4 linked regions of the Notamacropus eugenii genome follow. The protein of the gene in region 1 interacts with the protein of each later gene in a biochemical or structural test. Links are inferred from orthologs where the notes say so. Each region holds a gene or a part of one and is shown on either strand. Other genes may lie near its edges. The genes, in order: LRP1, APBB1, PLAT and THBS1.

Region 1 (7,573 bases):
GGATGGCGATTCCCTGCCCCAGTTTGACATAGGCGTGAGGTGGAGGTAGGAGTACTAGAAGACAGCTCTTGATGAGTTATGGTCTGGGCTCAGGGCTGGGGGTGGACAAGGAGAAGAGGGAGATAATGTGGGGAAGGTAGAGATGGGGTACAGTATAGAATAAACACAGGGTGGTGGAGGAGGAACTCCAATCAACATTTCCCTCAGCTACTCTGTTGATTCAGAGAGGAGGAGAACCTCCTCCTAACCCTCATGTCAAGAAGTGTCTAAGGAGGAAAACTGAGGCACAGAGCCAAAACAACATGGACTTTTAAGGTGACAATCCAAAAGTTTTCCCCCTAATAACAATGTGAATTTATATATCACTTCAGAGTTTACAAACCACTTTTTCCCCAAGAGCCCTGTGAGGTAGATAGTGCAAGTGTTATTATCACTATTTTACAAGTGAGGAAACTGAGGTCTGAAAAAGTGAAATAATTTGCCCATAGTTACATAGCTGACTTCATCATACTTCGTTCACCTCTCCTTCCATATTACAACTGCTTCTCTCATCTCATTCTTTTGGGCACAGTCTGAGATAATGGAATTTGAGGAGGGGGCAGTATTGGAGAAAAGGAATGGTCAGGGAGAACAGTTTCTAAACTTCGATCAGAGTTGAACGTCTCTGTAACACATACCTCCTCTCCCCCCCCCCCCCCCCCCAACGCTCCAGAGCGGGTAGCCAAAGCCAGCATTAGAGCCCTTGAACACAGAACAGCTGTGTCACTTTCTCATCCCATTGTGAAACTCCAGCTGGGCCCCTGAACACATCTCAGGATGTTTTGTGTTCCCCATAGTGGCCCCTCCAGCCTCTTAACACCCCCAACCAAATTGTTTTCCTCTTCTTGTCTTGACTTTTCTGATTCTTCCTAATCTTTCCCAGAACCAGGTGTCCCAATTCCCTCTGCCTCAGCTTCCCAGCATTCAAACCTCCTCATTGAAGGAAAAAAAGTTAAATATAATTATTTGGGGGGTACAGCAGGCAGATATAGGCTGCTTTGGAAAGAGATGAGGGCAGAGATTCTCCCTTCTTCTAAACTGGGCAATTTCTGTTTTTGTTTTCCTCCTAGCCCAAAGAAGGAGAGTTCTGAAGGATGGTATAATTGAGGAAGGGGGCATTGAATATTCCCCCTCTCTATGTGGGTTCCCTGCTCCCCAAACTTCTCCTCTCCTCTCCTGCCTCACTCTTAACCAAAGTAAGAGGGTCTTTGATTCCCATTGAGGTCAGGGGGAGGGGGACAGGGCAGTTGGATTTCTGAGAAAAACTTTCCCAACCCCAAACTTGGCAAAGTTTTGGAGATTGGAAGTGGGGGTGGAGGTGTGGTGGGCCTGAGGAGGGAGGGTCATTTCTTGCTGTGGGCAGAGTATGGAGCCCCCTGGGGGAAAAGGGTGGTGAGACACCCCACATACACTCAATCAGTGGGGCTCAGTTCTGCCCAGCCCAACCCCCAACCTATCCGTCCCTATTCTTGACTTAAGACAAGACTTGAACCCATGACTCAGGGTTAAATAGGAAAAGTTGCCAAAAGGGAGGAAAGGAGAGGGAACAAGAGGCCACCCCCAGTTCCCTAAAGCACATAGAGTTCCGGCTAGAGCTGATGTCTGCATTATGCAAAGGGAGAAGGGGGAGGGGGGGAGAAATTAAAAACAAATTCACTTAAGTTGCAGAACAGAAAACAGCAGCGGCATACTCCCCCTTCCTCCCATCCCTAAACTCTCCTAGTCCAAAGTGTGAAGGTACCAGAAAAGCATTCCGTGCCCCCACCTCAGTGATCCAAACCCGACTCCCAGCCCCTCTCCTCACTGATGACGTCTGACGTTTCATCCCAAACCTCCAGAAATTAAGAAGAGAAACTCGAAGTAACGTAATAACCCCCCACCCCTCCCACCTCTATCCCCATACAGCTCCACTCAACCCCGGCTACAGATAGAGGCCCACAAAAGGGGGAGTGTAGAAAGAAAGATGTGGAACCCTGGAGGCCTAGGCTAGAACCCAGTCCTTCTAGAACCCATTCCCTCCACCCCTGCTCCAGGGCCCAGTCCATCTTTTAGTACACAAGTCCTCTTCCTCTCCTCACACCTCTGCCCAATGTGGGCACCAAGGAAAAGCACTTCCCCCTTTGGCTTTCTCCCTCTACGCATTAGAAACGCACTGCAGACCCCCGCCCGAGCAGTTCTCCCCCCCCCCTTTGCAGATGTTTAATGCAAATCCAGATTCCTTCACAATTCAGATAGGGATGGGGGGGGGGGGGCCGGGACACGTCCTCCGCTAGAAATAGAGACAGCATAGGCCTCGCTTCATCTTCGGTGGCACTAAGCGGGCGCCGGGTCTGCCCCCCAAGCCAGTCTTTGTCTGAACTGGGGGGGTCCGGGAAGCATCTTCCACCCAGGCTCCCCACCCCCAGCCAACCCAGACCCCTGCTCCCAGCCCCCAGCCGGGGCGCTGCTGTGTCAGCTGGACCCGGATAACAAAAGGCCCCCCCACTCCGCGACTCCCTCCCCTTTCTGCAGTAAGAGGTGGGGACTGGGGAGGGGGCGTCCTCGGGGGAGGGGGGAGGGTGGGGGGACTCTCACTCACCATCCATCGCCGCTGTGGCCAGAGCCAAAGCCAGCGGCAGCAGCAGCAGCGGGCTCAGCATGGTGGTGCGGGGCCGGTGCAAACAGCCCCCTCCTCCGCAATCGGGCTCCTTCTTGACTGTGCCCCCCTTCATGGGGGTCCCCCGTTTTCCTCCCCGCCTTTATTTTTGTCTTTTCTTTCCGCAAAGCCCAGCGAGCTCTGGGATCGGAGGAGGGGGGTAGTGAGAAGGCAATAGTTAAGGGCCCCTCTGCTGGAGCTGGCTGGCGGGGAGGATGCGCCCCCAAATCGAACACCTCGAGGTCCCCCCTCCCTCCTCTTCTCTTGGCTCTCCCCTCGCCTAGGGCTTAGCTCAGAGCCCCATCTCGGAGCCGCCTCCGGCTGCAAAAATGCACAATTGGGAGGAGGCGGGGGGGGATGGGGGGGCGTGGACGGGGTGGGGGAGCCTAGGAAGGGGGGTCCTTCGCAGCTTTAGAAGAGCTGGAGGGTTCCCCTCTTTTCCTCCTCAGTGCAAGGGCCCTGAGCTCGCGCCTGTGCTCCCGGGATGGAGGTGGCGCGGGGGGGGGCGGGGGGAGGGAAGGGGGGAGTGGGAGGTAGGGAGCAGAGGGAGGGGGCGGGGAGGGGGAAGGGGCGGGGAGAAAAAAGAGGGGGAGAGCTAGCTACGCGGCAAATGTCCTGGTGCGCATGCGCGCCGTTCTCGCCCTCACCCTCCAGAAGAGGGGGAGAAGGAGGAGTGGCAGGGCCGAGGGGCTTGGAAAGCGGTTCCAGAGAGGCGGTGCCATGGACCCGCGGGCCAAGACACAGAATCATAGGATTGAAGCTAGAAGGGACATTCACTCCAGCTCGGTCACTTTACGGATGGGGAAACTGAGGCCCGGACATTTCTGTGACTTGTCAATGATCAAACTGATCACAGAGCCGGGATTCGAACCCGACTACAAACCCCTTCGCTCTTTCCCCACATCCAACTTCGCTCTAAGATCGCCGTCACTCCCCCCTCCCCTCCATCACCTCCCGTCTGCGTCTTCCAGAGCTGAGGGGATAGATGGGCAGGGTGTGGGGCTACAGGATTTCAGCCCCGTCCTGGGTTCTAGATTCTCCTCTCTGGACTTGGGCCTGTACCCTTCTGTAAGCTTGACCCTATCCCTGTCCTCCTCTTCCAACCCCCCCTTCCACATACACACGCCGCCCCCCCTCCCTCCCCCCCAATCCCTGGCCCGTAGAGAGCTGGGGAAGAGATGCCAGTCAGTGGGGAAGGCACTGGGAGAAGTTGAGCATTGATTTGGAGGCTCTGGGAAAAGTGGAAGGGGATTGGCTCTCGGGGCAAAGGGGGCGGGCCGGAACCGCCCAGGCCCCGCCCCACCTCCCTAGCTCTCGGCTTCCCAGTAAACAGGGACATTTGCCGGGACTCGACTGAACTTGTACTTTCGCCTTGGGTTAAGGACTAGAGCCCACCTTAGTGCCCGTCCCTCCCCGCCCCCGTCCCCCTTAGCCCACCCACCCCTCCTTTCCTTGGCGCAGGGCAGGTTTGGGGGCGAGCTGTTTGGAAGGGAGTGAGTCACTGGATGGGTGGGGCGGGCAGCGCCCCCGCCTCCCCCGGGGAGGTCAGAGGCATTTGTTGTGGTTGTTTTTGTTTTGAAAATGTCTGTGTTTGGGGCTTTTCCCACCTCCCAGGTGACTTCGGAAATGAAAGCTAGGGACCAGAGCTCTAACTCTCTGGGTTCTAGATTCACAAGAAAAAAGGTTTGTAATTGGCAAGTGGGAGGGGGGGAGATTCTGAGGATCGGTCTGGGATTTCTAGGTTTACTGGATTTCCATCCCTGAGTGCCCAGCCGTGGTCCCAGGTTCCGAGTCTTTTGCAATAGACGTCCCTCGAGCTCCGGGCTTTTGGGAATGTGCGTCTCGCCATTGCCCCCTTCTGGTCTGTCTTTTCGCCTTACATTATGGAGAGGGTCGAGTGGTAATGAAGAGCCTCCAGAAAAAGAGTGAGGAATGCCCTGCCAGATGTTGAAACTATGAAGCCAGTTGTTGGATGTTTGAGCAAAGAAAGCACAGCAGATACAAAGGGAAGAGTTAGGACCAATGAGTGGCAGTCGGATATGGGGAAAATTTTTCCAACTGTTAGAAATAACCAAAAAGCAGAATAGATTGATTAATGGCGTTGTTTCCTAGTCTAGAAATGTCTCATCTCCCCGGTCCATCCTTCTCACAGATGCCAACATAAAGACACATGCTTAAAACCTTAAGTGGCTCCCTGTTACTTCTAGGTTAAAATATACAGGAAGGAAATAAATATTTTATTAAGGGCCAGGTGACTATGTGCTAATCACCTTACACATATTTCGTTTGATCTTTACAACAACCTTAAGAAGAATTTGCTAGTATTATGGCCAATTTAAAATTGAGGAGACTGAGGTAGACAGGTGAAATCACTAGCCCAGAGTCACGCAGTGTGATGAGATTGAATTTGTTTTTTTTTACTAAGGTCTGGTAGTATTTAAGGATGTGCACAATTAGACTCTAACCTAGCCCACCAACCTTTTTTTTTTTTTAAATTCTTTTCAAAATTAGGAACTTAGTAATGAACAAACAAACATTTTCATGTACAAATTACAAGAACAAAAAGAGAAGATAATATATGAAAAGGGACATCTCTATCCTCTTTTATGCACATTATTGAAGTTCTGGGACAGTTAGCTGTTCCTCAGATTTTGAAGGGTATCTGCTGCCTCTGCACTCCCTCAGGTCATCCCCCGAGGGCTGAAATTCAGTCTTTCCTTAGCTCTGCCTTTCCTTATCCTCCTTTAAGGCTCAGTTCCTGTTTTCTCCATGAAGCCTTCCCAGATCTTCCTTAAGCCATTAGTGCTCCTTCTTCTTTTTCTAACAATCTTTACATGCTTGGAGCTATTTTTTGTCCTTTCACTTTCTATCTGAGGAAACATTTGTTTCTTCCTTCTTTCTATCTGTGAATATGTCATATACTTCCAGCTCCTTGATGATGGGAACTTTCATTTTCGTCTTTGTAGGTTCAGTATGTCCAACTATACTTTGCATTTAGTAGAAGTTTAAAATTTCCCCTCCTGATTGTGCTTCTAATTGTCCTGATTTTGTTCCCGTTCTTGGGTTACCTTCTCACTCCAGAACTTCCCTATGCCATGATGGCTTTCTTCTCCTCCTGGTATGTTTCCTTCCTGGGCCTTCATTTTGGGGAAGGTCCCAGATGGATCCTAAAGCTAAGTGCTTTATTCTTCTCTGGACTCCAGTGTTCTCATACCTTCTTTTCTTTCCCCCTCTTCCACTTTCAAGTTCCCTTTTATGTGTTGGTCCCATAAGCTCCTTGAGGGCAGGGAATATCTTTCTTTTTACTTGTATATGTATGTTTATCACTTAGCACAGTACCTGGCAAATAATGTTTTATTTGTGTGCTTGATAAATTTTTGTTGCTTTCCTACCTGCCTGCATGGAACTATATTTAAACAGAAGCTGGTTGACTGCCTGTTGAAGATGAATACAGCATCTTTGCTTCAGGATTGGACTAGATGACCTTTGAGGACCTGTCTACTTCTCATATAATATGATTCTATGAACCTCTTCCCCCATCAAACTCCAGGAGAGCAAGGTCTTGTACACCCAATGGGGACCACTATAGAATTCCTATAGGAGCATTTGAGGAGATTGACTCTTTTCTGAACCTTTGAAACTGAGAAGAATCAAAGCACTTTTAAAAATTGAGCTTAGCATTGTTTATCCAGAATATTTCTCTCTTGGCTCTCTCTGTGGTGTACTGTCTACCACCTTTCTTCCATGATTCTGATCTAGAAAGCTAGTTGCCTTTGTCTGCTTTCTCTTTTTTTTTTAACCTCCTATATTGACATAGTGTGGGAGTTTCCTTGGTTGGGGACTAGAAGGACTTTCTCCTTTTGTTCAGTTTCTGCATGCCATCGTAAGTCTCAATAGCCTCCTCAAAATCCACGTGGTGACTCTCCCTGCTTCCTGGTATACATATGCTTTGCCCCACTAAATATGGGCATAATTGTTTCTATTGGAAAGTAGCTGTTGTGATGAGATTGTACATCCCTAGTACTCTGCCAGTGGGGAAGCGGATAAGGAGTGGGGATAGGGAACTTGTGTTAGGGCTATAAAAATCTGCTTCCCTCCACCAGTGAGCACACTCCCTGGCTACCACTGATTGAGTGACAAGGGCTGTGCCTTTTCTCGTGAGAAAGAATAAAGACCTTCTCTGATCTCCAATTCAGACTCCGATCTTTATTGTGGTGGTGATCTCTGTCCCATACAGTTTTGGGAGCTCGTCCGGGATACCCTCAAAGGAGGAGGGGGTCCTTCTAACCCAGACCTACTGGCAGAAGGTCCCACCGAAGTTTAGTAGGAGGCCCTCAGTCAGGTTTGGGAGTGACCCTCCTCTGGTGGGAAAGGATCTGAAAGAAGACTGAAGCTGAGAGCAGAAAGTGATCGAAAGGGGGATGAGAAACACTCTCGGGATCAGTTGATCACGTAAGTCTGTGCACAGACCCAGGTGAGCCTTTTTGATTTTGAAACCCAGGGTGGTCGAATAGGGCAACACAGGAAGAACTAGTCCTATTGAGTCTGTAAGATTGAGGGGTCTGAGAAACTCTTGAGGGGTCTGAGAAACTCTGGGCAAGAAATAGGGAGCCTATTGCAGGTTAGTCTTGTTGAGTCTGCAGGATTGAGGAATCTGAGAAATCTTGGACAAGAAATTGAGAGTCTGTTGCCTGGAAACAGAAATTGAAAGAGACATGGTAAAGTCTTAGTCAAAGTTGAGTGGTGGGAGTCCCCTCCAAAAGGTACCAGAAGATAGTCCCTTAAGGACTATCTAAGCTAGCTAAGCAACTGGGATGAATTGCCAAAATATAAAAGGAAAGATAAGAGAAAGATGATCAAATATTGTTGTTTAATTTGGGATGGTGCTCAGCTTGGAGG
Region 2 (7,373 bases), on another chromosome or scaffold:
TAGGCACGTCTTCTAAATATAGTCTTTCCTGATCCCCCAACTCCTAGTGTCCTTTCTCCCAAACTACGTATTTAACTTGTGTGTGTGTGTGTGTGTACATGTGTATGTATTTAAATATTTGTTGGTTGATTCATTCATTCATTAATTCATTTAGTTTTCATTTTGCCTATATAGATTCTCATGTGCCACCTCTTCTAAGAAGCCTTCCCTTGACCCCCCCAAAATATAAATATTTCTCTTCAAATCCTCTCTCTCTGACCTCCCTGGTTTCCAGCTACATTACTCTGGGTTTTTAGTTTTACTCTTCCTGGCCAAGTCTCAAGTCATACCTCCCTTGAATGTTAGTCACTCGCTGCTAGCCAAACCTTTGGTGGCTCTGTTCCTAGTCTCCAGTCACTGACTGCGTCTTGGCCTGATCTCAAGTTAATCCACTCTTTTTCTACCCAGCCTTTTATATCTTCCATTAAAAATGGGGCTTGCTAAAAGCCACTCAGCTTGCACACAGGCTTCTGGGAGATATGGTTCCCAAAAATAAAGCAAGGCATCTGTCCCATGGGTTGAACCCTCTACATTCTTTTCCCCTCAAAAAATCGCACTAGATACATGGATACATCTGAGTATATAGCATAAGTATTAATTAATTGGTAAATAACACAGTCACAGGTAATCATCCCAAATATACAGGCTATATGTGGGTACATAGTATGAAACATACATTTTAGAATTATATAGGATGGTCTAGTCATATAATTTACATGCAGAAATACAACATATAGAACTACATGTGGCATAGAGTATCAAACATTAAGACTACATACAGATTGCATGTAACATACGCTTCATCATCAGTCATCTTCTGAATACAGTAAACCAAAGATGGAAGTTCCTGGTAAAAGTGTGGACAGGACAATGCCTGACACACGGTAACTGTTTAAGAAATGCTAGTTGACTGTTGGGGAAGGGGATGCCTTGGAATCATGAACAACTGAGGATGGTATTGCTTTTGCCAGTCATTCTCTCGTATTCGCTCATAGTCTCTCTTGGTCTCTTACCAGGAAAGCTTTAAATAATCATCAGCTCCTGGACAGCAGTAAATAAATTTAATAGTAATTTCTGAACAGTCCCATCACAGTTACATCTTTTGGGAAACTGGCATGATTGACAATATCAAGCAGTTTCTATAATGCTGCTACAGCTCCTTTGTCACATATTGAGTTTTCCCTGAGATTCCTCCCAAGTAACTACATATTGCATGTGTAAAGCCGCATCATTTGTATTATCATCACAGTTAAGGAGGAATTCCTTGAACCAACAGTCTCCATTCAAGGTCCAGAGCTATTATCATACATCACTTTTCCAATAAACCAATTAGCCAATTATTTAACCCAGTGTCCTGATAGGAAAGGCACATTATACAATTATTTCCATGTTTATATTCATTGGCATATTGTCTTCCTAGATCTTCTTATTTCACTCTACATCAATTGATATTTTCTAATGCTTTTCTGAATTTTTCATATTATTATTATTTCTTTTAGCTTAGTATTCCATGACATTTATGTACCACAATATGTTTAGCCATTCCTTAATTTATGGCCATCCGTTTTGTTCTAGTCCTTTGCTATCACCAAAAAAAAAAAAAAAGAAATGTTGCTCTGAATATTTCGGTTTATGTGGTACTTTCTTTCAATACTTGACCTCCTTAGGGTTTATGCCTAGCAGAGGATCTCTGGGTCAAAGGACATTCTAGTCACTTTTTGTTCCCTTGCATAATTGCCCCTAGTTAGAGCAGCTAGATGGTGCAGTGGATAGAGCACTGGACCTGGAGTTAGGAAGACCTAAGTTCAGGAAGCCCCAGACACTTAACTAACTGTGTGGCCCTGGGCAAGTCACTTAACCTCTGTTGGCCTTAGTTTCCTTATTTGTAAAATGGAGATAATAATATTGTGAGATAATAATAATAATATGGAGATAATAATATCTCAAATGAGATAATTGTAAAGCACTTAGCACAGTACCTGGCATATAGTAAATGCTATAGAAATGTTAGCTATTTATCATCATCATCATCATCATTATTTTTATTTCCCAAATGCTTTCCGGAGTGGTTGAACCAATTCACAGCTCCAACAGTATATCAATGTACTTGTCTTTCCTTCATCCTTCTAACATTGGACATTCACATTTTTTTTTATCATATTGGCAAATTTGCTCATTGTAAATCCAGCAACTCTGGATAGAGCCTCAGTTGTTTTGATTTATTTGCATTTTAATTATGACTGGTGATTCAGAGCAATCTATTATATGGTTGCTGATATTTTGCAGTTCTCCTGAAAATTGTTCAAATTCTTTGATTATATAGCCATTGAGGAATGACTCTTAACCTTATGTATTAGTCTGTATATATTCTGTGTGTGTGAATATATATAGAGAGACATATATATATGCATATGCATTGCAGACCTTTGTCAGATATTTGATGCAAAGATTTTTCCTCAGTTGACAGTCTCCATCTTTATCCTAGTTGTACTGATTTTGCTCATAAAAAACTATTCAACTTCATATAATCAAAAGTATCGATTTGATCTTTTTATTTAATTAAGAGCTGTTCCCCAGTTATAGCTATAAAAGGTATCTGATCTCATTCTCTTCTTTTTTGCATGTGTTGCAATCTTTAATATTCATGTCACATATCCATTTTGAGCTTATTATAGTATATGGTGTAATGCATTGGTCTAAACCTAATTTCTTCCAACAATAACAATTCAATGATATCCCTCCAGCAAATAGCAACTTCAATATGGCAATATAATTATTTTAAATCAATGGTTTGGCTTAGAAAAGTCACATCAAAAAAACGTTGCTGTCTGTTCACAGCATGGTAGGAAGGGAGGAAGAGAATTACAAAAAGAAAAATCTTTAATTTATCCTTATAATGCTACAGCATCCCAAACCCATAGGAGATCATCTCGCATATATTCAAATCCCTGGGATCTTTTTCTATAGTGTGGCCCCTTCTCCACTTCCTTCCACCCATTCCCCAGGCCTATGATATGCTTTCTCTAATCATTACAAGCCTTGTTAAGGTTATAGTCTATTTAATCCTAAAACTAAAAAAGCCCCACTGATGTTTGTTTGTTTTGTTTTTTTAACTAAATCAAATCTTACGACTGCAAATTCAAAGTCAAAGCACTTAATGAAATAGCGATAATGTGGAATTAAATCAGATATTAAACTCCCCAGCAGTCATTGCTAAATGGCTGTGATCCCCATTCTTCCACAAGTATTACTTAAGGGATCAATAATCATACTCACAATTAACCCTCCAGTCTCCTCAGCACAGTTGGAGGGTGATACTGCCTGAAAGTCAGTATTGACGAGTACAATCAGGTCACCCCACAAGCATACTTCTCATTAGAGTACTTGACTCTCTCTTAGTCCCTTAGTGGCTTCCATTCTTGCCACTGTGTCAGGTCTCACTGATCCACATTTCTGGTTGGTCGTTCTTGTCTTGGTTTCCAGTTGCTTCATCCATAAGATTCCTATTAACTGTTTAAAACCAGACTTACTAGAGCTGCTCATCTAGCACACAGGCTTTCAGGGAATGTAATTCCCCAAATTAAGATATGATTCCTATTTCCTGGGCTCACCTCTTTGCAGCATTATCATAATACTTATCTTTATCCATTTCCTATTTTTCATTATCAATAGCTTGTTTGAATAGGAACTATTGTAATGAATAATTTGTACTGTTGTAATTATAATGAAAGCTAAAATTTATATAGCACTTTAAGGTTTGCAAAGTACTTTACAAACATTATTTCATTTTATCCTCACAAAACTTTGAGAAGTGAAGATATTATCCCTATTTTACAGATGAAAAGCCTGAGGTTAACAGAGATTTAAGTGACTACTTGCCCAAGGTCACATAGCTAGTAAGTAGTTAAAGCCAAATTTGAATTCAGGTATTGCTGACTCCAAGTCCAGTACTGTATCTACTTATGCTATCTAGCTACCTCTTATCCATGTAATACTTTCTATAAGTCTTCATTTTATCATTTGTTGAGTGATGGTGATTCCTTTTATTTGTGTGTCAGATGGGATATGATGGTTCTCTTCCAACATTCACATGGAGGAGGGATTGAACTTCCTGTCTGGCCCCAGAGGTTAGAACCAGAAGCAATGGGCTGAAGTTAAGAAGAAGCCACTTTAGGTCTGATACCAAGAAAACTTCCTACCAGTTAGAGCTGACCCAAAGTGGAGTGGGCTGTCTAGAAAGGCAGTGAATTCTCATTCCTGGGGAGGTCTTTATACAGAGATTGGAAGACAACATATTGAGTATGTTATAATAAGGTATTCTTTTGGTATGTGGATTAGACTAGGTTACCTCTCAAATTCTGTTCAGGCCCTCATTATCTCTAGACTGGTCTACTGTGGTAGTTTCCTAACTGGTTTTCCACTCACTCTTCTCTCTAACATAACCTTCACAAAAGTGCTAAAATAATCTTCCTATTCCTTTTCTTTTTAGCTTTTGAGTTCCTGGCCTCCCCCCCACCCCCCACCATAGCCTATACTATACAGTACAACCACCTTAACCTGATGTTCAAGTTTCTCTGCAGTGTAACTCCAACCTGCTTTTCCAGGTCTTATGTCATACTACTCCAATTCACATAACCTGTGGTACAGCCCAACTGGAGTACTTTCTTTCTCTCTCTCTTTCTCTCTCTCTCTCTCTCTCTCTCTCTCTCTCTCTCTCTCTCTCTCTCTCCCTCCCTCCTCTCTCCCATCTCAGTGTTTTTTCCTGGAAGGGACTGTTTCCCCAGCTCCGTCTATTAAAGTCAACCCCTTTCTTTGAGTCTCAATTCATGAAATCTCCTTCATGAAACATTCTTTGATTCTCACTCCCACGCCAGAATATACAATAATCTCTCTCTCTCCTTAAGTTTCTCATAATACTTTGCCTGGATAGCTTTTTTACACATATCACTTTATCTCTGTTATCACTAAGTTATATGTACATTTATCCTTCACCCCACTACATCTGTAAGGTCCTTCAGAGTAGGGTCTATAGAATGGAAACAGCCCTGACTTTGGAGACAGAGGACTTTTCAAATCCTGTCTGCCTTTCAAATCTGTGTGACTTAGGGTAAATGACTTAAATTCTCTGGGCCTCAGTCCTATAAAATGAAGGGGCTGGACAAGATGCCTCTGAAGTCTCTTCCAACTCTTCATCTATGATCCTATGAAAGAAGAGAAGAGTAAAGAAAGGGGAGGGGAATAAACATTTATTAATTGCCTACTATGTGCCAGGCGATATGCTAAGCACTGTCCAGATACTGTCACTGAAAGGGTCTTTGTCACAGCTATCTTTGTATCCCCAGCATCAAACATATATTAGGTGCTTAAAACAATGTTTGTTAATTTTAATGGAATGAAATTGAGAGTACTAGAGTTAAGTTGGCACTTAGATAAGTGACAGAGTGCCAAGAACCTAGACTCCTCAGGGACTGGTGAATTTTTTAATGGTCTGGAGGAGGGAGTGCACAGCAAGTTATGTGGATACCAGGCATGAAAAATTTTTTTTTTACATATGAAGTAATGCAAAGCATATTTCTACATTAATCATGTTGCAAAAGAAAACACATGTGCACATGCATGCGTACACACACAAGAATAAATTGAAAAAAGTATGCTTGAATCTGCACTCAGAGTTTATTAGTTCTCTTTCTGGAGGTGGATAGCATTTTTCCTCATGGATCCTTTGGATTGTCTTGGATCAGTCTTGATCAGAGTAGCTAAGTCTTTGACAGTTGATCACCATTATAATATTGTTATTACTGTATACAATGTTCTCCTGATTCTGCTCACTTCACTCTGCCTCAGTTCGTATAAATCTTCACAGGTTTTTCTGAAACCATTCCCATGGGCATTTCTTATAGCACAAGAGTAGTTTCACCCCAATCAATTAACCACAGTCTGTTCAGTCATTTCCCAACTGATGGGCATCCCTTCAATCTCCAGTCCTTTGCCACCACAAAAAGAGCTGCCCTAAATATTTTTGTACAAATAAGTCCTTTTCCCTTTCAGGCAAGAAGAATTTTTTTTAACACAATTGCAATGAACATTCTTAGTTCTCTAGCCAGAGCTGAGCAGGTTAGGAAAGAGGATGAGACTTGTATCTGGTCCTCCTTCCACTATCCTCTGTCCTTCACTACTAGGAAAGAAGGGTGCTAATATGACTGTTACTATGGAGTCTATAGAGGGAACAAGACTATGTTCAGGTATGGAAAGGAGAGCCAAGGAAAGGCAAATAGGAAAGTGAAATAGGAAAGTGTCTTCTGGGGATGATTTTTTTGAGGGAGAAATCTTTTTCAAAAGCAAGTTTGAGGGTGATTGAAGTTAAAAGAATACTGGACATTAGATATAAGGGCCTTCTACAGCGGTGTGGCCATGGAGAAATCTTTTCCACTGTTTAGGCCTCAGTTTCACTATCTATAAAATGTGGGCTTAACTGCTCTCTTATATCCTTGCCAGCTCTGATATTCTATGGTTCTGTGTTATATTGTCAAGAATTTTGGAAAGCTGCATCTCATCTCAACCTTCCTGTTTCTGTTAAGGGTGCCATCATTCTTCCAGTCATCCAAATTCATAATTTTAGAGTCATCCTCAACTCCCCAGTCTCCTCCACACTTTTTCTACCAGTTTCCAAGGCTTGTGGATTCTATAGGTACACCAGTATTTGTATTCACTTGCCTTCTCTGTTCATATAGCCACCATTCCAGTTCAGGCCTTCATCACCTCTCACTTAGACTATTACAACATTGGTCTTCCATCCAGAAGTCTCTCCCCTCTCCAGTGCATTCTCCATACAGCTGCCAAAGTGATTTTCTTAAAGCACAAGACTGAGCAAGTCACTATACTACTCAATGAACTCTGTTGTACTTAGTACAGTACTTGGCACATTTTAGGTAATTTATAGATATATCTTTATCTCTCTCTCTCTCTCTCTCCCTTTCCCTCGCTTCCTTTATTGCCCTTAGGATAAAACAAAAACTCCTTTGTCATTTAAAGTCTTTCTTAACCTGACTCCAACTTATCTTTCAAGTTTCATCACATATTACTTTCCTCCACGCAATCTATGATCCAGCCAAACTGGCCTCTCTGCTGTTCTTCACACTTGACATTCCCTATCCCATTTCCTTGTCTTTGCATAGATTGGCTTATTCCTTCCTCACTTCCACTTCTTAGAATTTCTATTTTCCTTCAAATTTATGCCCAAATACCAGCTTCTACATTAGGCTTTTCCTGTTTCTTCTAGCTACTGGAGCTTTCCCCAACCTCCTCCCAAAATAACCTTTAATTAATTTTGCATT
Region 3 (7,553 bases), on another chromosome or scaffold:
ACATCTCCACTTCCTTCAGTCAGTCTTTTTACAGCACGATCTCAAGGTTCTTTGCCATCCTGGTTGGCTACCTAAAATGTCTAGAACTAAATGCAACACCTCGAGTATGGTCTTACTAAGGTGGCATATGGCAGGACTCATCACATCCCTAGTTCTGCATCTCTTAGTTTGACCCCAGATTATACAAGTTTTGTTTTTTTTTAATGCCCATTGCACTAAAAATGCACGCTTGCTACCACTTATTTACTTTTTTCCCTATATAACCCTATTGACTCATACAGAGCTTTACATTCCACTAAAATCCTCAGATTTTATTCAAACAAATTGCTGCCTAGTCATGACACCCTTATTTTGTCCTTGTAGACTTAATTTTCTAAACCTGACTCATCCCAATTAAATGTAATTTTGTTAGATTTGGCCCAATGTTCTAGTGCTTAGCACAGTTCACAGTAGGCACTTAATAAATGTTTATTGACTAATGACTGACTAAACTGCTCTAGCTTCTACAGAGTTTTCTAATGCTTTCCAAGTCTTGTGCTCTTTGAAAATTTCATAAACTTGTTAAGCTTCATTGAAGTCACTGATAAAAATGTGGATCAGCACAGGACCAAGTACTGATCTTGAGGAATAATAACGGAAAGAACATAAGCTTTGCAGTCAGGCAAACTGGGTTCAAATCCTGGCTAGGATATTTACAACCTAGATGACCTTGGACAAGTCACCTATCCATTCTGAGCAGGCTAGAAACTGAAAGCCTTCAGGTAGGGGAAGGGGCCAGATACATTTTTTGGTGGTTGAGGAGAGCAGGCTGGCATTTGGCAGCACGCACCTATTATCAATGAGTGTACCCCAGGGCTTTGTCCTGTGCTTTTTCTCTCTCTACACTCTCTGTCTTGGTGATCACAACATTATCTGTGGATGCAAAGATCATCTCTGTACAGATGACTTCCAAATTTACATATCCAGCCCTCATCACTCTCTCCTGAGTTCCAATATTTCATCAACAACTGTTTGCTGTACATTTCAACCTGATGTTTAATAAATACATTGAATCTAATTATAGAATTAATCTCTTTCTTCAGTTTTCCCCCAGATGTTTGGCCTCATGTAGACTTGACTTTAGCTGATCGTACTTAAACACCAGATGAGAGAGCTGATAGCACTATTATAATCTGCTCAACTAATCAACATTCATTTACTCAGTAAGGCTCCTCTGACCAACAGGAATTTACAAGGTGGTGAGTCAGACTTCCTAAAGTTCTGCAGTGCCTGGCCGTGTCTATGTTTCATGCTCTCGAAGCTGCATCTCTCTATCTCAGATGATACTGCACCACGTCCCAGAGGAGCACAGATCACTTCCACCAAGGCCAGACTTACAAAAGAGAAATTATCTCGAGTATCGAGAGAAACTGGCTCCAGGCATTTGGAGATAAACTGAAATGGCCTAGGGGAGACAGGACTAAGAAGGAGCAGTGTGGGCTAAAGAAAGCTACTATTTGCTTGGGTTAAATTTCTGAGACTCTAAAGCTGGAATCTTTGAAAAGGAAGGCTAGCCCACACCGAAGGGAGGAAAGGTGCTATTTATAATTCAATAGCCAAGGTGTCCTGACTAATGCACCAATAGGAAGCATTTTTTTTAAGCTAAGTGTTCACATATTGATTCAAGACCTTCCAAATGTCTAGATCCTCAGATGCCCCCAAATATCCATGGGAATGGGAGAGTATTCTTCACTGGGTTGAAAATATAAAAAACTATTAGCAGACTATTTCCTTTTCTCCTGTTCCTCTTTTTTTGTTTTTTTTTTCTTTGGAAGAGAATGAATGAAAGACCACATTAGTGGCTTGAGCTGTTATCAAGTAGTCAGGAGACCTCAGCTGGCAGTCCAGATCTACCACCAAGTTAACTGTTTGACCTTAGAACCACTTGAACCACTGTTCTCCTTCATGCTGTTCGCCACCAGTGGTCTGAGGACTGAGGTATGTTTGCCTCCTTTCCTCCTTGGGAGGTTAAGAAAATGAAAGATTACAGGAGTGAAAATCTAGAGAGGCTTATAGGCTTCCAGGGGGTAAGTGCTATATGATTAAAGGCTATTCAGCTTATTTTTTTTTCCACAATTAGAGAGAGAAATCCTTAAAGTACCCTGTCTATCATCATCCAGGTAAGAAAGTTGGAGACAAAAAGGAGGGAACATGAGGAGGAAATCTGGGGAACGAGCCCAGAGGTCTTTGTGTGTACAGATCACTTCTCCTGCCCACCCCTCCACTCCCAACCCCCTCACTCCCCTACCTAGCACACCTCAGCAGGAAACTCCAATCATGCAAAAGAGATGTTCACCTTCCCCCTTTACCTTCCAATTCCTTCTGCTAATTAGGAGACACCCAGCCAGTATCAGGCAGGTAAACTGGCATCATGTTAATGTCCCGGAGGAAGATGACTTCAGGTTCATTAGTCATCAAGTGTTTGCACATCATTTTTGCAAACTGCTTTTCACTTTTTCCTGACTCTGCATATCAGAGGCTTCTTCTCCAAGGGTTATACCTATTAAACTCTCCTACCCATGCCACAGAACTACTGGAAAGTTGTGGACTGGCTTTGTGCTTCTTTCTTCTTTCATCCCTTCTTTCTTCTTTTCTCTCTTTATCTCCCTTCCTTCCTTCCTTCCTAATGTAAACAGCACTCTCTATTACCCCTACTATGGCCCCAACACTGCATTAAGTAAGCCCCAGGGCAAATGGTGAGAGCTGTATGAAAGAGGTCCCACTTCAGCCTCCTTCTATCCACAGTGCAAAGCTAATACTAACTTTCAGAAATCCCTTTATTGTTGGGGTTTCCTCGGGATGCCTAGCAAAGGGAAAAGAGGAGCCCAGCTAACAGACAGTGGATATGTAATACATAAGACCTACCTCTCCTGGTCTCCTGTACCTCTCCAAGGACTTTCTGCCAAGTTCCAGGCTCGTGGCTGAATCTCAGCTCTGAGTTCCCTGAACAGCTCCCGGCTCCTTTAAATTCCAGTGACAGAGGTGGGGTCTGTTGCATGGAGTGGGCGTGTTTCTCCCCTCTAGGAGAATGCCCAGTGGAGAGGCTGGAGAGATGGAGGCAAGCTGGGGCGGGCCTGCTTTTATTGCTAAGGAGGGGGAGGAAGTATGAGATAGCCAACCTAGCCTGCTCTGTCTGGCCTTGGGCCAGTCTGTATTATTCACTGGGTTTGATTTTGTAAAGACACACTTGGATTTCTAAGTAAGTATATAAATAAACAAGTGCTGGGAAGTTTCTTTGTCCAGACCTGGGGTCCCACTGCAGTTACCTGGCCTCCACTGACATGTGGTGGAGGGTTGGACAGGTTTAGGCCCACCAATTCAAGGATAGGATAGCAAGCAAGGCCAGATGGAGCCAAGGGATGAGACCACCGAGAGGAGGGGCAGGCAATGGTCAGATGACAACTGGGAAATGTTGTCCTGCCATAGAGTCATAGACTGGAGGGGACCTTAGAGGTCATCTAGCCCAATCATCTTATTTGGCAGAGGAGGAAACTGATGTCCAGAGGCAGGAAATTACTTGCCCAAGGTTACTCAGAGGGCAGGACCACCCAAGCCTAGTGTTCTTTCCATTACACCACACTGCCAGTCACCTACGACTAAAGCAAGGTCCCCACCCCAAAGTGTCTCCCACCATCTGTCATAGTGCCTAAAATGCCACCCTTTGAGTTATTCTATTTGTTCTTGGCGGCTTTTCAATTTTCCAGAATTTCACATTAAAAATGTGAATACCTCTGGGATTAGGTTATCTGGTTATCAGCCAATACCCTAAAGGGGCCTGTACCAGTACTGGAAAGAGACCATAGTTGTGGGCTCAGGGAGAGGAACCCTGAAAAGAGACATAGGAGAGATAAAAGGATAAAAAAAAATTGTCAACGGCAGACTTCTTTGCCCATTTGGCAAGATCTGCTTGTAAAGAGCCATCATGAAAAGGGGGCACCTTGGAATAGAAGGTGTTTAGCAAGCTGGAGCAGCCATCCGAAGTGAGCTATGATGAGCTTTTCACAGGAGAGAATATTATCTATTAAGTGACTTAACAATTAGCATTTCAGCAATTAGAAGAACTGACCTTCAAGGTCCTTCACAATCTGACCCTTGACCATCATTTTAGCTTTATTTGATAACTCCCCTCCACACCTCTACACTCCAGACAAATTGACCTATTCTCTAATAGCTTCCAGACAAGGTTCATGGTTTTCCCTATGCTCAGAATGCCTTCCCCTCCCCTTCTTCAGTTGCTGAAGATCTACCTATCTTACCAGAACCCAACTTAAATGCACCATGAAGCTAGCAACAACTTTCTGTCTGAGACTCCTCATAGCACCTTATCTTATACTATCATGTTATTTAGAGTATTATGATTGACTCTACAAATCTATAAGTTTGATGAAGGCAGGGACTACATCTCATCTAAAGCTTGTATCTCCCCCTCCAGGGCCTAGCACCGTGCTCACACTCGTAAGTTGTTCATTAAATGTTTGTGCAATTGAATTTACCAGATGCTGCTCATGCAGATCTCCGAGCAGCTCTGTTGGCTAAATCAGGAAAGGGAATTACTCACATTCCAATGAATATGAGATGGTTTTCCCTACCCCCAGCAGAATTCCAGGAGCACTTTAGAATAATACTGAATTATTAGCTACTGGATTAATAGAAATGAATCCTGCTTTTAATTGTGACAAAGAAGGAGAGACGAGAAGAAAAAAATGAAAATTAAGCCTAATTCAATCACAGTCTATGGGAATTTCACTTTTAAAAAACCTTTTTGTGTGTGTGTTATTGCTTACTAGCGAAATTACAGATCTTTTTTAAAAAATTTTTTTTGGGGAATGACAGAGTATGTGGGAGGAAAGCAAAAGTACACAGAAAAGAGGTTAAAAATGATAGGAACCAGGTGTCTACTCTATATGTGATTTGCAGGATGTCGACATAGCCCCTTCCTGGCCTCTGTGACCTTGAAAACAAATCCCCAGTGAGAAAGAATGATTTTTCCAGAGTCAGACAATACATATTTCAAATAATCAAGGATAATTTTATGAACAAGACCAAATAGAATCCTAAGGAGTGCTGGGACAAAGGATAGCTGGCAAGGAAGTGCTCTCTCAAGAGTTCCCAAGTTTGGCACTGTTTCTGTGGTTCCATGACCTTCCTCTCCACAGGTCCCATGAGTCATAGTCTCAGAGCAACATCGTGGGGAACAACTAACAGTGATGGGCCCCAATTATCAATTAAATAGGCAACAGGACATGGCATTAGAAAGGAGAACTAAAATCAGACCCTAATCATCCGAAAAAGAAATGACATCATGTCTACTGCAACCTGAAGGAGAGAAGTGGGTAAACCAAGGGGGCTGAGACAAGGTGGCTTAAGACAGAAAAGGAAGAGGGAAAAGAGCGTTTGACTTCAAAGTTTATGGAGTATATTCTGGTAGTCAATGGTGTTGAGGGGAATGGATCTTTATGGTTCTGAAATCTCCTTAGTATCTTTCTAGCATGGATTTTCCTAAATCTTTATCCAGACCAGTGACAAACAAGGAAGAGGGATCATATTAGATCCTTGAAAACAAAATTAAGACCAATAAGTAGAAGTTACAGTAGGCAGATTTAGACTTCATAAGAAGGAAAACTTTTTAATGATTAGAGTTGTCCAGAAGTGGCAGAATAGGCAGTGTTAAAGGTAGTGAGTTCCTCATCAGTGAAGGTTTTCCAATGGAAGCTGGATGGCCACTTTGTTAGCAAGGATCCTCTCATGAACTTATTTATATTTTCAATATGCACGTCTGCTTCAAGGTGTCAAATCCCCTAAGGCTACTATCTACTGTGTAAAATAATATTGCTTTCTATCTTCCCACCTCTGCTTTTTCCATTCCATTCTTTCCATCCCTGCCAGGTTAATACTTTTCTGATCAGGTTACTCCTGTGTTTAAAACCATTCACGGAACATGATGCTATAGAAAGTACATTAGACTTGGAGTTAGGGAGACCTGGGTTTCATTATTACCTCTGACATTTACTAGTAGCATGTCCATGATCAAATTATTTAAACTTTCTTAACTCTGTGTCTTCATCTTATAAACAGGAGTAATAATACTTCTGATACCTACCTCATAAGATTGGGGGATAACACGTAGGAGGCACTTTGCAAACCTTAAATATAAGTGTCAGGAATTACTATTGTCTACAAATAAAGTTCAAGTCCCTTAATCCCTTTAGGGACTACCATGAGCTGGCACCATCTTTCCCTTTCCTGGTTTATTTCAATCTGCTCTCCTTTAAGTACCTTATTCAGGATTGTGCTGGTAAATGCTTGACAACTGGTTCTCAAAAAAATGTATACAGGGCACACTTTGGGGGTGGGGTAAGTGGGGTTAAGTGACTTGCCCAGGGTTACAAAATTAGTAACTGTCAAGTGTCTGAGGTTGGATTTGAACTCAGGTCCTCCTGACTCCAAAGCTGGTGCTTTCTCCACTATGCTACCTAGCTGTAGCAGGACATACTTTCAAATTTAATTTGTATTATTAACATTTTCTTTATCACTTTCTTAAGTCTATTAAATCAATAAAACGAAATCAAGACTTGGTTTGTAGTGATTTCTAAGGTATTAATCTCACTTTGATATTTTAATAATAATATAATAATAAGATCTAGCACACTCCTGTCTTTGATACAGATGAAACAGGTTGCTCACCATCTTCTGTACACACACCATGCTGTGCCTGCTCTGTGTCTTTGCTCATACCCTCCCAGCTCCTGGAAAATTCTTCCTTCATCTTTGTCTGTTGCAATCCTACCTGTACTTTGAATCCCTGCTCAAATGCTTCCTCCTCTAAGAATACTTCTCTGATTCTACCAGATGGAAATTCCTCCTTCTACCTCAGATGTCATAAACTATTTTGTTATTGTCTTGTGCACTCATCATATATTACACTGATTTTATCTTGTCCTGCAACTCTTCTGAAGTTATTATTCCAATTAGTTTTCTGTTGACTCTCTAGTTCTCTAAGAAAATCATATCATCTGCAAAAAAAAAATAACTTTCTTTCTCTGTCTATATTTAATCCCTAAATTTCTTTTCCTTGTCTTACTGCTATAGTTAGCATTTCTAGTATTGTGTTAAATAGTAGCGGTGATATGGGTCTCCTTGCTTTACTGGAAAGACCTATAATTTTTTCTACCAAATATAATGTTTGCTTTTGGATTTAGATTAAAAACTATTAACACTTAATAAATTAAGGAAAGGTATGTCCACTCCTATAATTTCTAGAATTTTTAATAGAAATGAGTGTTAGATTTTGTCAAATCCTTTCCCAGAATTACTTATGTAATCACATAGATTTTATTACATGTTATTAATGTACGCAATTATATTTACCATCTTCCTTGTGTTGAACTAAATTTGCATTCCTAGTATAAACTCATTGTGATTGTAGTGTATAATCTTTCCAATATGTTATTATAGCCTACTTGCTTATGTTTATTTAAAAATTTTATATCAATGTTTATTAGGGATATTGGCCC
Region 4 (8,124 bases), on another chromosome or scaffold:
CATGTTGGCCAGTTCATCACAGGAGAAGCCACAGATTGCCTGCAGGTCCTTGGTCTTGTGGCCAATGTAGTTAGTTCGAATGGCAGGGCTGGAACCGTTTACTGGGTTGTCAAGTGTGATAATTTGATTGGTGGCTACCAAGAAATAAAGGAAAGGCAAGAAATTACAGGGCATCTCCAAATGGCGATATGTGCCAGTCTCTACAGTTCTAACTTACCAAGGTACAATTTTGTCAGGATGAATATTGCCTATAGGTTATTTTCATATCTTTCCAAGATGTAAAAGAGGAATGTGGTATGAGCAGCTTATGCGCAGCTCCCATTCCAAACCTATCTCACCTGCTCTAAGTGATTTTTATTGTGGCTATTTCTATTTTTAACTTTTTTGCCCTCTTCCCTTCCTGTCTCCCAGCGAAAAAAAGCAGCAAACTTACAGCTTGAACAGCCTTTGTTCCTTAGGATATCTTCTGGGGTGGTTCCGAAGACAAACCTCACATTTTGCAGCACCCCCTGGTGGCAGAGGCAGAACGATAATTAGTGCAAACAAGAAATGTTCACTCATCACCCCAAAAGTTCAAATTTACAGCGTTGCAAATTAAATCATCTTATGGACAAAATAATCATTTTCAATATTAACATGGTGGATAAATTGTCAACATAAATCCCAGTGCCCTCTGCCTGCATTTCAACAACTGCCTCATCTTTAGGATCTTTCAGAGAATTCAGCCCATTTAGGCATTCAGGAGTTAAAATCTTATGGTGAATACCAGAGATGCTATGAAGCAAGGCAGGTAATGGTGCAGGCCAATGTGCCAAAGGGTTAATCGTTGTGGAGGAACAAGCCATGTAAAACCATTCCTTCTAACTCAACACTGTATCTGAGCTTGAGAGTTGCTTTATTAGGGGAGAATAGGGTCAAGTTATTTATGTTGTTACAAACGTCCCACTTTAAAATGCATGTCAGATCTATGTGTAACAGGCCTCTTCTTATCTCAATGGGGAGAAACATAAAGAGATTCAAGAGGCTGGGCAAATAAGATAGATAACTGCATAAGAATACTATATTTAAAAATCATCCCCCACTTGGCAATAACCTACAGGTGGTCTCAACAATTCTCTTGGCAGTGTTAGACAGTTGGAAAATTCTCTTTAGATTAGGAAAAGAAATCTCACCTGAAAATTATCATTGACATCTCCCTTTGCCACACGGAGTCTGGCACTGCCAGCCAGGTCCCTGGTGAAGATGCTTTCAATGGGGGCATCCAGTTCAGCATTCTCCATCTTTTCACAATCTACATACAACTGGGCCCGGTCCTCCTGAACAAACAGGATGATATTCTTCCATTGGCCGGTGGCCAAGAGAGCTTCTTCCACTGATACCACTTGTTGCTTCCCCTGCACTGACATGCTCAGGTCCAGAGTGCCTGCTTTGCCATTGGAAACTAGACTGAAGATATGGCCAGAGTGATTCTTGTACTCCACGGTCATCAGAGTGCCCCGGGTCTTTTTCATCTGCCTCAGGGAGGCCAGGAAGATAAAGCCCTTTTCTGCTCGGATTGCATCCACCAAGTCTTGGAACTTGTTATCTGGCATAGGGGGAATTCGATTGGCATCCTCGATTCGGAAAGCAGGGCTGGAGGTATCAGGACCTTTCACCAGACGGCGCCCAGAGCCCTTGTTGGCAGCACCAGGGAGATCAAAGAGGTCAAACACACTGTTGTCACTCCCAGACTCTATGGAACAGGAGCAGAATATGCAGTTAGTGGTAAATAGGGTGTGCTAGACTTAAGAGTGCCAGGCTCTCAGTTGCCCTACTGTAGCCTTAGTGAACTAAACAGCAAAAGACACAGGATGAAATCCTGGCAGAAGAGTACACAAGCATCTCAGACATCAGGGCTCCCACTCCAGAAAACACTCAACCTTGAGAGGGGTTGAGTATACCCTCTGCTGTGTAGCTATGTTTAATCTGGATATTCAATATTCAGAGTTCTCATTCTTGCCTTCCAGTACCTGCATTTTTTCTTTTCAATATTTTTTTCCAGGCAGACCTAGAGTACCTAGGAACCCTACAAAAGCATTGCCTAAAATGGCCTAGAATTCAACCCCTCCCAATTTCACCCTCTTAACCTCCCCCTGCCGGCTGTGGCAAAGGCTCACCTGAGATCCTGTTGGTGCCACACATTTCCAGAAGCAGTAAGAAGACCAGCCCCCGAACCAGCCCCATGATGGAGCTGTTTGTGCCTAGTATCCAAAGCCTGTAGCAGAGAGAGCACAGTCAGAGTCGGACAGCGAAACTCTGAAGACCTCCCAGAGGGAAGCAGACATAAGAGAAGGGGAAATAGCTAAGGTCGCTGGTGTGGGGGTTGTGGTTGTGGGATGTACAGATTTCCCTGTACTCCCAAAACTTGCTTGAGGGAGAAGTTCTAGACTGTCCAGTCCAAAAAAAAAAAAACGTTATGGAATGGGACAGAAGTGTTCCGAGGCCTGTAGGGGAAACACTAAAACCCTGGGAACTTTTTTTGGAAAAAACTTTGGGATAATGGATCCCTGAGATAAACACACAGAGAGGGAGACATCACTTTGAGAGAGAAGCTGTATAGCCTGGATGACTGTCAAACGACTGAAGAGACCCCACTTTTGAGTATGTTTTGGACGTCCGTGAAATATTGCGACTTCCTTGTGGAGTTGGGGTTCTGAGTCCCATTGTCTCCTGAGGTTGCCCTTGAGTTTCTCAGAGGTGTCTGGGATGCACTCCCAGGGACCCGAGGAAGAAAGGCCATGGGGAAGGGGGGAATGAATTGAATAATCTTGGGGGCAGTTTCTGATGAATGGGATGAGTTCTTGAGGTGTTTCTTTTTCCCCTCAAAGTGGTGGGTGGGAGCATACTGGTGAAATTTTAGTTTGCTGAGAAATCCTCAGAAGGAACAGAGCTGGGTGCCCAGGGTCCCAACAGAGGAGGAAGGCGGCTACGATCTTACCTGTGTGGATTAAGGAGCCGGGACTCTAACGATCCTCCGCTACAGGGATGGGGCCAGGGAGCGCACAGTCCTTTGGTTATCTTCCAAGCGCAGCTGGTGCGCCTAAGTCCTGGGAAGCAAGAGCAGGTCCAGGCTGTGGGAGATCCTCCAGCGGTCCAAAGGAGGCTCCCGGAGGCAGAGGGGCTGCGGAGATGAGGCGGTCGGGACAGGGAGAGCTCCTCAGGGTCAGCTTCAGCTACTTAGCTTCCCCCGGTCCGGTGCAGTGACTGCAGAAGCGGATGAGTCGTGCTCCTTTAAAGGGTCGCGCACATTCCTGAGGACTCCAGCTAGCCAATCGGAAGCGTCCGGGCAGGAAGGGGGCGGGGGAGAGTCTGAGTGGGTTGGCCCCCCCCTCCTCCCCGTCCTCTCTCCCCCCCCCCCTCCCCCGGCGGCCCACTCCCCCCTCCTTCTTCCCCCTCTTCTCCTCCCCGGGCTCCCGCGCCGGGGGCGGGCAGGCTCACCCCTTTCCAGCTAGAAAGTGAAGCCCGGGGTGTCTGGGGAGGAGGGAACCACGCTAACTTCTCTGGAGAGCACATAATAACTCTCTATTGTGTTCTCGGTTCCCCTTGGCTCACAGAATCTCCAATTCAAATCGATTCAGTTCCACAAACCTTTAATAAGCGCCTACAGTATACAAGACACGCATTATAACTTGCCTCGTATACGCGGGGGATCCAGGACTGGATCTCCCTTGTCTGACACCCTGCCAAGAGTGTCCCTAGGTGCGGCTGGCTTTGTGACAGAACGCTGAAATCTAAAGGGGATTGGGGTTAAGGGATCATAGATTTAGGATTGTAAGGAATCTTGAAAACCATCGAGTCCAAGTCCCTCGAGCCCTTGCCCCTCAGATACAAAGAAGGGAGGTGGCTCGTCCAGTCAAAGAAGTAGTAAGTGGTAGTCAAAATATGAACCCAGGCCTTTTGACTTCAAAACCAGGACCCCCTGCACCGCACCACACTGCTTCATGAGGAAGGGGAAGAAGGAGGTGAGGAGGCAAGGAGGGGACAAGGACACTGAGACTATCCCAGTAGTCTCAGTACTGTAGGTGGCTTGGGCCAGTTGGGAAAGAACGGATAACGGGACTTTCTGGGACACTCGTTCTTAGCGTTCAGGTTGCGATCTCCCTGCATGGTGATTCGGCCTGGCTGAACCCCAATTCTCTCAGCACCTACACCTTTCATTTGTAGTTAAAGGTGTTCAGTGGCGCGCCATGCTGAGGGTCTTCCCCTGGGGTGGGAGCTGAGCCTTGACTCCCTGAGCTTCCCTTCCCATTTCCCTGCTAGTTCGGGGAGCGGTTCCTCTCCACTCTCCCCTGAGCCTGGGCTGCTGCGGACTTGACTTTGTGTCCCCGACCCCCTCCTTCCCCCCCCCCCCCCAATAGCCTGAGACAGCACTTTGATCAGTTTCCACTTGGGGGCGGTAAGCGCACTCTTATTAGGGAACCGCAGGAGGACTTTTTCTCTTTCTAGCCAGGAATCTTGAACCAAACTTTCACTTCTCCTTCTTCCCCCGCTCCATCCTACCTCCCCCCGTCTCTGGAAACCAAAATTAAGTTGAATCCTGGAAAAACAGTTTCTTTTGCCTACTCGTGCTTTTAAAACGTGACTCCTGGGTGGATAATTCGCAGAGCTACCTGGCTTCGGGAGTTTAGCCCAGATCCACCAGGTGATCGATGGCTTTTTTCCCCCTGCCTGCTCTTTTACTAGCTCCTTTCATTCTTGGGCTCCCGTAAGTGGGCGTGCGTTGTGACATTTTTGTGGGACCACGATCGGTCGTTAGCATTGTTGTTGCCTCACGTCTCTTTCGGATGGAGACTGGTCTCCAAGAAACTGTCCCAAGCCAGCATGACTCCAGTGGTTTGGAATCCCATTCATCTCTTTTGGCTGGGACGTCAGCAGCGGCGGCGAAGGGGGCAGGAGTCGCTCCTTTGCTGCCTCTCCCTTCTCCGGGCTGTCATTGGGCCCCGGAGCCGAAACGTTGTTAACTGTTCTGGCTCCAACATACACACAGACACAGGTAAGCCAGCCTTCACCAAATAAGGATCTGAAAAACAGGGCAGTACAAATCCAGGGCCTCCATCTCTGCCGCCTCCTCATTGACACCAGGTCAAATTAGTAACTGCTGGAAGTATCCATTTTTCACATTAATCACAGCGCAGATTTCACTTTCCTGAGTAGGAGGGTTCTGAGGCAAGCTGGACTGATGGCTCTCCAGTTACACAATTTGGAGAACAAACACCAGTCCGAGAGACAACAAATGTCGGCAACACATTTGTGTGGTTGTCTGAATCGTTAACTGAACTTGCTGGCCCGATGGGTTTCAGATTTTCAGAAGCTAAAATATGAGATTCTGAATGGGCTAGGATACCCCTAATGGCAGTTGAATAAGAATTCACCTGAACAGTCCTGAGACTTGTGTGGAACTTCATTTCTTTCTTTGGAAACTAAAGCAGACTACTCAGGCCACTTTTTGGTGACTGGCTTCTAATACCTCATGACACCTGATTTTGAGGAAAGATGATTTTAGGTTGTAGGGATGGTTAGCTAGTGACTTGCCCCTGATCCATAGCATCTTCCGATGGTAATTCTATAACACTGGAGGAGGACTTTACAAGTATCCCCCTGCTGTCCACTAAATCTTCCTCACCCTTGCCTTAAGAAATTGGCTTGGGGATGGGAATTGGCAATCCCCAAGTAGTCCAAGTTAAAAAAAATTCTCAGGAGATTATATATGTGTGTATGTATATGTCTATCTATATACATATATTGATATATTTCCTAGAGAATATTTTATATATATACATATACACACACATTCTGGAGAATATTTTGTTACATTTATGTGTCCTCAAGGATACACACACACATAACATCCTATAGACTATACATACACACACACATATATATCATATATTAGTATGTTAATATAGTATAATTTCTGTCAAGTTGTTCTTATAACTCTCTAAATGAATTCCTCATATTGTTGACATTGAACTTCCAACTTCAATTTATATAAAAGGTCTCTTGGAAGAGTTATTTCATGTCCTAGTTTTCAAAATACAAACTTTAAGGCTGACATAAATAAGATTATCTATCTCTATCTATCTATCTATCTATCTATCTATCTATCTATCTATCTATCTATCTCTCTAATCTATCTATCCTGACTCTGTCTAGATTTTTACTAGGAAACTTAAATATCCATTTGGTTCAGCCCTCAAGCTCCCTACTTACTACTTGCATGACTCTGGGAAAATCCTTTACATCTAGATAGATAGTAGATAGCAGTTATATTTAACTATAATGACTTAAAGGTGTCATGCGACTTTTCTTAGCTCTCAGTGTCCATAGCAAAATCAAGGTAATAATTTATATCCTCTAAATGTTTCACAAAGAATGAGTGTTGTGTAGCTGAAAAAGTATTTGGTTTAGAGTCAAAAGATTCCAAAAGCGAGTGAATTTCAACCTCACCTCTATCTCTTACTACCTATAGGATTTAGAGTAAAACACCTAACCTTTCTAGTGCTCTGTAAAATGAGGGGGTTGGATTACATCATCTTAGTTGTATTATTTCAAGCCCCAAACATCTCGTCAATAGTTAATGATTTTTTTATTTCAATGGAAGAGAAAAACCAGAGGGTTGTATACTGATGCCAGGAGCTCCCCCAAATTCTTGTTCGCCCAAGGCCATTGAGTATTTCCCAGAAACCCCATATACAGTTTTGGACAAACAGTAGTGAAAAAAGAAGTGAGAATCTGGTGTATGTTACTCTTGGGAAACAATTCACTGTATCCTCTGTGAGGTTTTGGCCTGTCAGGCAAATGAATTGAAATGAACACGAATGAGGGGCCCTTCCAGCAAAAGAAAGGATCAGGCTTTTTCTGGGCTGTCATGGCCCTAAGTTATTACTTAGCATAACCCACAACTAACAGAATTACAAAGTAAATGACATTTTCATCATGAAGTTTCTTTTTTTAAGTTTCCCTATTTGGAGGTGGAGTTGACATAAGAACTCTGCTGCCAGTAAAGAAAGGAAGGAAAAAGGACTGTCAGTTAAAGTTAGTTTTAAATTTGCATGTGAGTTAGGATGGCAAGATACTGAAGTTAAAAATATGTATATTTTTAATTCCCCAAATGCCCAAACATTCCGAGGTTTTGTTAAGGATTTTTTAAATGCCTGAGATTTTCACTCTTCAAAAATTCTTCGAAGTGATCATCAACCAGAATTTTTGTGTGCCATAATTATGCAAAAACCACAGCCTCTAAGAAATAGTAGTCTAGTGAATTCATTCCTCTGTTGACTATTGCTACTTCCTTCTTCCTACTTAATGGTTCAGCCCGACCGGCTCAGACTGAGAGCCAGGTTTTTCTGTGTCTTACTCATTCTTCAAGGCCCAATTCAAGTTGGTCAGTGAATAAGAATTGATTAAAGCTGCTTTCCTCATGAAGCTTTCCATATGCTGCTTTCCTCATGACTTCAGACTGAAGCTCATCTCCCCTCTTTCAGACATTCCCCTGGAGTCTGTGCCACACACGAAGCTGCTGGCTTTGTGTTGCCTTCTATCGACCCAAGTCTGAATCTGCAATTCGCTACCTATAGGTGACCTTGGATAAATCACTTTAAACTTTCCAAGATCGTTTTTATGTCTGTAAAAATGAGGATATTAATACCTGTGCCTCACAGCATAATAGAGGGAAAAGAGCACTAAACTTTAAGTCTCTTGGCCTGTGTGTGAATCCTAGCTTTGCCAGGATTTACACTAAGGGGACTTGAATATACATTTGGTTGCTTTTTTACACTCTCTGTGGGCAACTCAGTGGCCCCGTGATAGAGTACTGGACCTAGAGTCAAGAAGATTCATCTGAGTTCAAATCTAACCCCAGACAATTACTAGCTGTGCCACCCTGGGCAAGTCACTGTATTAGCAACCATAGTAGCACACAGGGTGGGCTGCTACCACAGGTTCTTTGATCTGCACTGATCTTACTTTAATCAAACAATGTAGACAGATAAGAAAGGAGTATCTAAGGGCTCCAACTGTCTGAACAGATAATAGATACCTAATCACCAGACCAGGGAACACCAACATCTGGGTTCTTAAAGTTAG

Evidence for each region.
Region 2: the proteins of LRP1 (region 1) and APBB1 form a complex in vitro, tested with the Homo sapiens proteins (2 studies listed by BioGRID and IntAct, with this or other methods). The link is inferred for Notamacropus eugenii from reciprocal best matches to the Homo sapiens genes LRP1 and APBB1.
Region 3: the proteins of LRP1 (region 1) and PLAT form a complex in vitro, tested with the Homo sapiens proteins (2 studies listed by BioGRID). The link is inferred for Notamacropus eugenii from reciprocal best matches to the Homo sapiens genes LRP1 and PLAT.
Region 4: the proteins of LRP1 (region 1) and THBS1 form a complex in vitro, tested with the Homo sapiens proteins (3 studies listed by BioGRID). The link is inferred for Notamacropus eugenii from reciprocal best matches to the Homo sapiens genes LRP1 and THBS1.

What each region holds. Positions count from the first base shown.
Region 1 is NC_092874.1:232,525,034-232,532,606, reverse strand, and holds the start of LRP1 (prolow-density lipoprotein receptor-related protein 1), read right to left. Parts: upstream 3,175-7,573; 5' UTR 2,751-3,174; coding exon 2,618-2,750; intron 1-2,617. UniProt on the Homo sapiens protein: Endocytic receptor involved in endocytosis and in phagocytosis of apoptotic cells. Required for early embryonic development. Involved in cellular lipid homeostasis.
Region 2 is NC_092876.1:89,154,610-89,161,982, reverse strand, and holds the start of APBB1 (amyloid beta precursor protein binding family B member 1), read right to left. Parts: upstream 3,408-7,373; 5' UTR 3,316-3,407; intron 1-3,315. UniProt on the Homo sapiens protein: Transcription coregulator that can have both coactivator and corepressor functions. Adapter protein that forms a transcriptionally active complex with the gamma-secretase-derived amyloid precursor protein (APP) intracellular domain.
Region 3 is NC_092872.1:618,371,707-618,379,259, reverse strand, and holds the start of PLAT (tissue-type plasminogen activator), read right to left. Parts: upstream 3,094-7,553; 5' UTR 2,905-3,093; intron 1-2,904. UniProt on the Homo sapiens protein: Converts the abundant, but inactive, zymogen plasminogen to plasmin by hydrolyzing a single Arg-Val bond in plasminogen.
Region 4 is NC_092878.1:25,267,425-25,275,548, reverse strand, and holds the start of THBS1 (thrombospondin-1), read right to left. Parts: upstream 3,252-8,124; 5' UTR 2,978-3,251; intron 2,255-2,977; 5' UTR 2,224-2,254; coding exon 2,157-2,223; intron 1,733-2,156; coding exon 1,173-1,732; intron 510-1,172; coding exon 434-509; intron 135-433; coding exon 1-134. UniProt on the Homo sapiens protein: Adhesive glycoprotein that mediates cell-to-cell and cell-to-matrix interactions.